2 linked regions of the Oryctolagus cuniculus genome follow. The protein of the gene in region 1 purifies or fractionates together with the protein of each later gene. This does not show direct contact. Links are inferred from orthologs where the notes say so. Each region holds a gene or a part of one and is shown on either strand. Other genes may lie near its edges.

Region 1 (4,472 bases):
AGCGATGCCCGCTTCCCTTGCACCAAGCCGGAAGCCAAAGCCTGGCAGCCAGGGTGCAGGTCCCGCACGCACCTGCCCGTGGGACCCTGCCTGGGTTAGCTCCCGTGCGGCTATGGGGTCTTGGGCCCAGGGAAGGCCAGGCAGAGGCTGGCCGCCACCTCCCTCACCCGCACACTCAGGTGAGGCACACCTGTGGAGGAGGAGGAGGAGGAGGAGGCGGCCGCCCCCACAGTCGGCCCCTCGGCCTTGGGACAGGCTGGGAAGACCAGGCTGGCAGGGTGGGGCCGTGGAGGTGCCCGGATCCTTGTCTGAGCCTCAGGCTCAGGAGGCGTCTGTGTCCAAGGGAGGGCTGCGCTGGCCTCGCCCAAGCCAGGAGGCAGGAGGCCACTGGGCACTCAGCTCGGATGCTGCGAGGCCGGAAGGCTGATGGGTGGGGTCAGGCCGGACACCAACCAGCGGCCGTCTCCCCAGGGCCAGCCCCGGGCCTGGGCCAGCCAATCGCAGGGTGACGGGGAGGGGAAGGCAGGCGAGCTGGGCAGGGCACTGGCCAAAGTAGCCAAGACCCTCCGGCTGGAGGGGGCTCTCTGGGTAGGGACCCCCCCACCTCTGCCCATGACTGGGGCCCTCCCTGCACCCCCTCCCCGTGAGGGGTGAGGAGAGCAAACGGGCTGTGCCAGCATCCCCATTACATAAAGGACCCTGGCTCCGGGGGTCAGGGACCTGTCCATCGTCCATCCACTCTGGCCGACGTGGCGTGGCCGGGCCTGGCACCCGCGTCGGCCAGCTCCTCTCTTGGCTGCTCTTGGGACACACAGGGATGACCCCAGGGACAGAGGGGCGGCACCGCACAGGCCTGGCCCGAGGTGCCCGCGGCCCTCTGCAGCTTTCTGAGGCAAAGTCTCCCGGAGCGCGAGGCCCCCTGGGAAAACGCTCAAACGCAGCATCAGCAGTGGCCGGCGGACGAGGCCTGCGGCCCCCCAGGAAAGCTTGGGGGATTTCTGCTGTTTTCTAAGTTTTTCTGCTTGGCTTTGGTGCTGGTTGTTGCTTTCTAAGTTGGGAAAACTAGCACACCCGTAACTTTTGTACAGTGACCCCAGAACCGCCTCCGCGGACCCCATCTGACCCCCACTCGGGCCCAGGCGCCCGGGCCACTTCTGCCACGGCATAGACCCGTGGGGACACCGCTCTGTGGCCTCTTCCCCAGACTCAACGCCTCTGCCCTTTGGGGACACGTGTCAGGGTTCCGAAAGTCCTCAAGAGGCATGGCACAGAGCTGCACCCGCCACCCGCCCCAGGCTCTGCCGGCTCCACTCCGGGGCGGGGGCACTGAACCTGGCCCCTCTCCCTCTCGGGCTCGGGGCACCACGCGTGGCTCGGCCTCGGCGGAGGCAGGAGGCTCCTGGTGCAACGCAGAGGGAAGAGCGGCCACTTCTGAGAGCCAGGGCGGCCCCGAGGTCACCGAACAGAAACCACATCCCGAAGCCGTCCTCTCCACACAGGCGGGGGCCCTGGCCTGCCCCTCAAAACCCCCCAGGCCTCTCCGGGCAGGCTCTGGCTCCAGGACCTGGCCGGGTCTCCTCTGTGTGTGTCCCAGCAACTGGCAGAACCCTAAAGCAAGGGCGGCCCCCCACACCCTCCCTCCTCTGCCGGGTTTCTGCTGGGACCCCAGGGCCCGGGCCCCTCAGGTGTTCCCGCTCCCCCAGAGTTCCCATGCCAAGGCGCTGCCAACGGGGAGGGGGCTCCCAGGCTCCTGCACAGACAGAGCCGCTGGAGGCGTGGGGAGGCCCGGGTGGGGGCTGACCCCCCCACCCCTCAGAACTCATCCCCTGCAGGGGGCACCCAGCCCCAAGCACCAGGGGGAAATCTCAGGGCTGGGCCGGAAGCCCCCTCTCGCCCTCCTCAGGGGAGCACGTGCTCACCCCACAAGGCCCCCTGGGGCTGGGCCTGCGTCCTTAGTGGGCGAGGGTGCACCCAGGGCTTCCCCCCACCAGCAGCAGCCCCGGCCTCTGAGCTGGGGGCAAGCACTGCCCGCCTCATCGTTCCACCAGAGGCCAGGGGCAGCTGTCCCCCTCTCTGCCCTGCTGAGCCTCAGGTCCCCGCAGGCCGACAAGGGAGCCCCAGTTAAGCTCCCAGGCTCTGGTGGCTGGACACACCCCTTCCTGACACCTGGCCCCGGCCCTGAGGAACCTGGGAGAATGGGCCGAGCCAGGTGGCAGGAGGTGGAGGCACGGCTATGGCCTGGTGTCACCTCCACCCAAGACCCAAGCCCTGCCCATGTCCCCACCCAAGGGTCAGAGATCTCTGAGAGTGACAGGTTCAGGCCCTGGACCTGGGTCTCCGGCAGAACTCAGGGGTCCACTGGGGCTTCCGGCCCGGACCAAGGCAGGGGTCAGGAGCAAGCAGGCCAGGGCACCTGCAGAGGCTCCGGCCCACACCGATGCTCTTCCCCTCCCGGGGGGGGGGGGGCTCCGACCCCCTACCCACCCAGAGCTCCACCAACCGGAGCTGGGGGCCCGACAAGCCCTGTGGGGCTGCAGGCGGTCCCTCCCTCCCTCCCTCCCGGCCGGCTTCTGACAGTGGCTCCCGGGAGAATTCGAACCCGACAACGATGGGGCGCCCCAGGCGGTGGGGGGTGGGGAGTGGACGCGGCGGCGGCGGCGGCCACGGGAGCGGGACGGGCCACCCCCGCGCGCGCCCCCCGCCGCAGGCAGCCGGGCACTCACCTCTGGCGGGGCACTGCGGTCCGGGCGGCATCAGCGGCCTGCGGGACGCTCCGCGCGGCCGGCGGGCAGGGGCGGGGCGGGGGTCCCCGGGGGAGCGGCACAAAGAGCGGCGGCACGGCCCGGCGGAGGCAGGGGGCGGCCGCGCGGCCCGGGCCGGGCGCGAAGAAAGGCGGCGGCGGAAGGGGGCGCAAACAATGTGGCCCGCGCGGCCCGGCGGAGTTCCGCTTCCCCGCGCCGCCCCGAGGCTCGCCGGGCGGACGTCGCGCCGGCGGCCGGGGGGCCCGCCCCGCACGCTCGATCGGGGCCGGGGGCCGCGAGCTGCACGCCCCGCGGGCTCGGCGGCCGGGCGAGGGCTGGGCGGGCGGGACGGCGGCCGCGGACGCCCCGACGGCGGCGCGCGCGCGCGCGCGCTCGGACCCCGCCCGGCAGGACCCCGGGGCGGCGGCGCGCGCGCTGCGGCGGGCGGGCGGGGGGCGCGGGGGGCGCGGCGGCGGCGGCGGCCACCCTCGGCTCGCCCGTGCTCCGCGGGAGGAAGCTCGCAGGCCCCGGCGAGAGGAAGCGCGGCCCGGATCTCCGCCCGCCGCAGCGCGCCTGCGCGAGGGCCTGCCCGGCGCGGCGGGGCGCGGGCGGCGCCCCCTGTCGGGCGCCGGGGACACCGCGGGGGGTGTGTCCGCGCCGGGCCTCGCGGGGCTGGCCGTGCGAGGGTCCGTCCCAGCCGCACCCCCGGCCCGCGCGCCGGCCCCGGGTCCGTGTACGGAGAGCGCGCCCTCGCCTCGCGCAGGGGGCGCTCCTTGGTGCGCGCAGGCTCCTCGGGCCCTGCCAGGGGGGCTCCTAGGAGGACCGCTCGGTCGCCGTCCGGGGGTTCTCGGAGGGTGGGCGGCAGACTGGCGGGCCCAGAGGCGCTCGCCAAGCGGGAGGTGATGGAAGGGTGGAGGTGGTGCGCCAGGTGCAGCGGTGGGAGCTGGGCTCCTGCAGCCACAGGGCTGGGAGAGTCCGGACAGCCTCCCCGGGACCCTCTTGGACTTCACGCTCAGCCTGTAGGTGACAGTGAGGGAGTAAGTGGTCAGTAGCTGAGTGACCCTGGGCCGGTGTCTGAACCTGTCTGTCTCTGCATTTGATAAAACGAGGGAAATAACAGCTTGTGCGTCTCTGGGGTTTGTGGAGAGGAAATGAGTTAATATGTCTAAATTGTTTTGCGTGCAGCCGCCGGCGCACGTGGTGGGCCCTCGGTTAAGTACGGGCTGTTATCATTCACCGCCGTGGAGGAGGGGCGGGGAGGGGGCCAGCCCGGAGCTGCAGGAGCTGGCAGTGGGCTCAGTCGTGGGCAGGCGGACCTGGAGTTTACGGGCACCTTCTGGGAACTGGCCCTGGAGCCAGGGTCTGATGTAGGGAGACAGGAGGATGGGCGTTCTCCCTGGTGGACCAGACCCATTGGCAAAGTCCCGAGGGACCAAAGGCACGAGGGGGCCATGGAGACTTTGGGGGCCCAGAGGAGGGAGAGGGAGCACCTATGATGCTGGGAGTTGGAGACCACCGTGCCCCTGCTCCCCCCCCCCGAGGAGTGGCAGGTTGGCCCTCTGACCCCTGGGAGGAGGCACCCAGAGATGGGTGCGGGGTGATGTTGAAAGAGTGTGGATTTGGGTTCAGCTCTCAGAGTTCAGCCTCCTGGGGCTGTGCGACCTTGGGCTAGTTACTTAAGGTCTCTGGGCCCAGTTTCCTCTTTTGTAAGATGAGGTGTGCACCTCCCTC
Region 2 (3,802 bases), on another chromosome or scaffold:
GGTGGTCTTGAGAGGGCGGCACGCAGTGTGTCTCGGGAGAGCAGTTTGCTGGGGGTTGGCGCGCTGAGCTGGGCTCATGTCCACAGTAATGAGGACCTGAGCGGCCGGCAGCGGGAGTCCCACTGGGAGAGGTCCCAGAGCTTTTCTCTCGGGCAGTGTCGGCGAGGAACGGTGGGTGCGATTCGCACCTGAGGACGATGGGTGTTTGCGTTTTTTCTGCTGGTGTTCACTCTGCTGCGATGAACACAGGGGGTGGGTAGGTAGATGATACACAGAGATAGATAGGTGTGTACACATGCATGCAGACACATACTACATGTACATAGGTGCACACAGATACGTGTAGGTGCACACACAGATACACACATGCATATAGATACATACATGCATGTAGATAGATACACACAGTGCCCGAATGCAGATAACACATACATGCATGTAGGTGCATGCATATACATGCATAGATGCATGTATCTATGTACACACAGATAGTACATACATGTAGGTGCACACAGATGCACGTGTCCATCCATACATGCATGTAGACCTGCATGCATATGCACACGTGTAGGCAGATGCACATATACATAGATAGATAGACAGATGTGTGCGTGCAGATACAGATACATAGGTGCATGCACAGAGATGCACGCATGTAGAGTGTGCATACACATACTACACACATGCACGTGTACAGAGATGCATGCATGCACACATAAATACACATGCAAGTAGATACATGGATAATACATGGAGCATGAACATGAAGGTTCACACATGTAGACAGATGAATGTGTACACACATGCCGTGTGTAGATAGATGCATGCATACATGTAGATACATGAATACATGGGTAGATGCATACACGTGCATACATACAGATAGAATTGACAGGATACATAGGATAGATACATCTGTACATGTAGATAATAAATGGATACGTGCTTATATACAAACATAGAACTGATAGGCTAGATACATACGTATACATAGATGTACACTATGTACACACATACTTAGAAGAGACAAGATAGGTACATGTGTACATGTAGATAATGTATACATACTTAATACCTACAGATGAATTAGCTAGGGTTGATGAATGGATAGGACAGACAGGGAGGGAGGGCGTGGGAACCCAGCAGAGCTACCATCCTACTGCCGTGTGCTGCTCCCAAGGGCCCGTGCAGCTGCCCTGTCCCCACGCTGACCACCTCTTCCCCTCCCCGACGAGTGCCCTGTCTGTCCCCACACTGACCGCCCCTCCCCCTCCCCCTCAAGTGCCCTGCCCCATGCTGACCGCCCCTCCCCCTCCCCCTCGAGTGCCCTGCCCCCACGCTGACCGCTCCCTCCCCCTCCCCCACAAGTGCCCTGCCCCATGCTGACCACCTCTCCCCCTCCCCCTCGAGTGCCCTGTCCCCACGCTGACCGCCTCTCCCCTCCCCATGAGTGCCCTGTCTGTCCCCACACTGACCCCCTCTCCCCCTCCCCCACGAGTGCCCTGTCTGTCCCCACACTGACCACCTCTTCCCCTCCCCATGAGTGCCCTGTCTGTCCCCACACTGACCACCTCTTCCCCTCCCCGACGAGTGCCCTGTCTGTCCCCACACTGACCCCCTCTCCCCCTCCCCCACAAGTGCCCTGCCCCATGCTGACCACCTCTTCCCCTCCCCCACGAGTGCCCTGTCTGTCCCCACACTGACTCCCTCTCCCCCTCCCCCATGAGTGCCCTGCCCCATGCTGACCGCCCCTCCCCCTCCCCCTCGAGTGCCCTGCCCCCACGCTGACCGCCTCTCCCCTCCCCACAGTGTTGCACACGCACGGCCCCGTGGATGGCAGCCTCTATGCCAAGGTGAGGAAGAAGAGCACCTCCGACCCCGGCATCCCCAGCGGCCCCCAGACGGGACCAGCCGCTGGCAGCCCGGAGCACGGCGAGCACACACTGTCGGTCAGCAGCGACTCGGGCCATTCTACCGCCTCGGTCCGGACCGACAGGACGGAGGAGCGGCCGGCCCCGGGCGGCAGGAGGGGCCTGAGCCCCCAGGAGAAGGCGGAGTTGGACCAGCTTCTCCGCGGCTTCGGCCTGCAGGAGTCGGGGCCTGCCCTCAAAGACATGGCCGACGCGCACAGCCAGGGCAGCGGGACGCGGCTGGTGGTGCCGGCCCAGGTCCACGTGAACGGGGACGCCGCGCTGAAGGAGACCGACATCCTGGACGACGAGATGCCACACCATGACCTGCACAGCGTGGATAGCCTGGGCACCCTGTCCTCCTCGGAGGGGCCGCCGGCCCCCCTGGGCCCCTTCCCCTGCCACAAAAGCAGCCAGAACTCCCTCCTGTCCGATGGCTTCGGCAGCCACGTGGGCGAGGAGCCGCTGTGTGCGCTGACCCCGGAGCTGGGCCTCGGCGTGGATGGCCTCTACGAGCGGGAGCGGACGTTCGGGGGCCGGGAGCCCAGGCAGCCGCCGCCGCCTCTGTGGAAGCCCTCGGTGTCGGCGCAGACGCAGGCCTACGGACCTGACGGCTACTCCACGCAGACCTGGGTGCGCCAGCAACAGATGGTGGCCGCCCATCACTATGGCCTTGCGCCCGCCGGGGAGGCCAGGCTCGTGGGCCGCGGCACTGCAGACAGCCCCAGCCTTATCCAGGCACAGCCCAGTGTCCAGGTCTCCCCCAGCCGCACGGCCAGCAGCCGGGTGACCGCCCAGAGGGGCACTGGCACTGGACTGTGTGCACGCGACTCCCAGCTGCCGACACCCAGGAGTGCAGGGGACAGGGTCGTGAATGGAGCTGGCCAGGAGCTGGGTGCAGGCCCCTCCCCGGGCTCCCCGACCCTGGACATCGACCAGTCCATCGAGCAGCTCAACAGGCTGATCCTGGAGCTGGACCCCACCTTCGAGCCCATCCCTACCCACATGAACGCCCTGGGCGGCCCGGCCAGCGGCCCCGTGTACGTGGACGGCGTGGGAAGTGCGCTCCGGGCTGGCGGCAGGCTGCAAGGTGAGACAGACACGCTGTCTCGCTGAGTGTGAGACCCCCTGAGGGGGACATTTCCCTCGTGGTTTCTGCCATTAGGGTTTCAGACCCGGGAATCTGAGAGCACTGTGGGGGGTCCCAAGGGTCCCCAGTGTCAGGCCGGGAGGGAGGGGCGAGTCCGGGAAAAGCCTTCCTCAGGGTGGGTGCGTGACAGGGATCAGGCCCGGCCCACCAAGGGGCCAGCCGAGTGCACACATCACATGTGGAGGTCTTGGCCAGGCAAGACCAGGAGCCGGCCCAGCACCGGCTGTCTGGGCGGTTGTGGGCGGGTCCCTGACTCCTCTGAGTTTCCACATCTGAGGGTGGGTTAGTGGGGCAAGCAGACGCGCCGTGGGTGAGTGCCAGTGTCCTGGGGGCTGACGGGAAGAATGGAGAGGGCAGCAGGGCCCCTGAGACAGCCTCATGGGGGCAGGGATGGGGGTAAGCGTTGGTGTTTAAAATGCCCGGATCACACCCACAGCTGCAGGTTGGCCACGTGGTGTGGGAGACCATTCATGGAGGCGACAGCTCTGGCAGAGGCCTGGGGGGCATTGCCAGGGTGGGGAGGGTCCTGCAGGTGAGAGGCGTTCCTGAGAGCAGAGGCCAGGGCGGGCAGAGGTGGGAGCGTGGGAGCCGAGGGGGGGACTCACTGGGGGAAGCAGGCTCGGGTGTGGGGCCGAGTTCAGCTGTGGTCCAGAGCCGTGAGCCTGGAACAGTGGGGTGTCGGGTTCTGGAGTCATGTGCGCTCTGCAAAGTGGGCGGGGCTAGCTGACCACAGGGCAGCGGG

Evidence for each region.
Region 2: the proteins of CSK (region 1) and TNS3 purify together in Homo sapiens (affinity purification with mass spectrometry; 4 studies listed by BioGRID and IntAct, with this or other methods). This does not show direct contact. The link is inferred for Oryctolagus cuniculus from reciprocal best matches to the Homo sapiens genes CSK and TNS3.

Annotation. Positions count from the first base shown.
Region 1 is NC_091443.1:108,911,217-108,915,688, forward strand, and holds the start of CSK (tyrosine-protein kinase CSK), read right to left. Parts: upstream 3,073-4,472; 5' UTR 2,724-3,072; intron 1-2,723. UniProt on the Homo sapiens protein: Non-receptor tyrosine-protein kinase that plays an important role in the regulation of cell growth, differentiation, migration and immune response.
Region 2 is NC_091447.1:53,170,231-53,174,032, reverse strand, and holds part of TNS3 (tensin-3), read left to right. Parts: intron 1-1,809; coding exon 1,810-3,000; intron 3,001-3,802. UniProt on the Homo sapiens protein: May act as a protein phosphatase and/or a lipid phosphatase. Involved in the dissociation of the integrin-tensin-actin complex. EGF activates TNS4 and down-regulates TNS3 which results in capping the tail of ITGB1.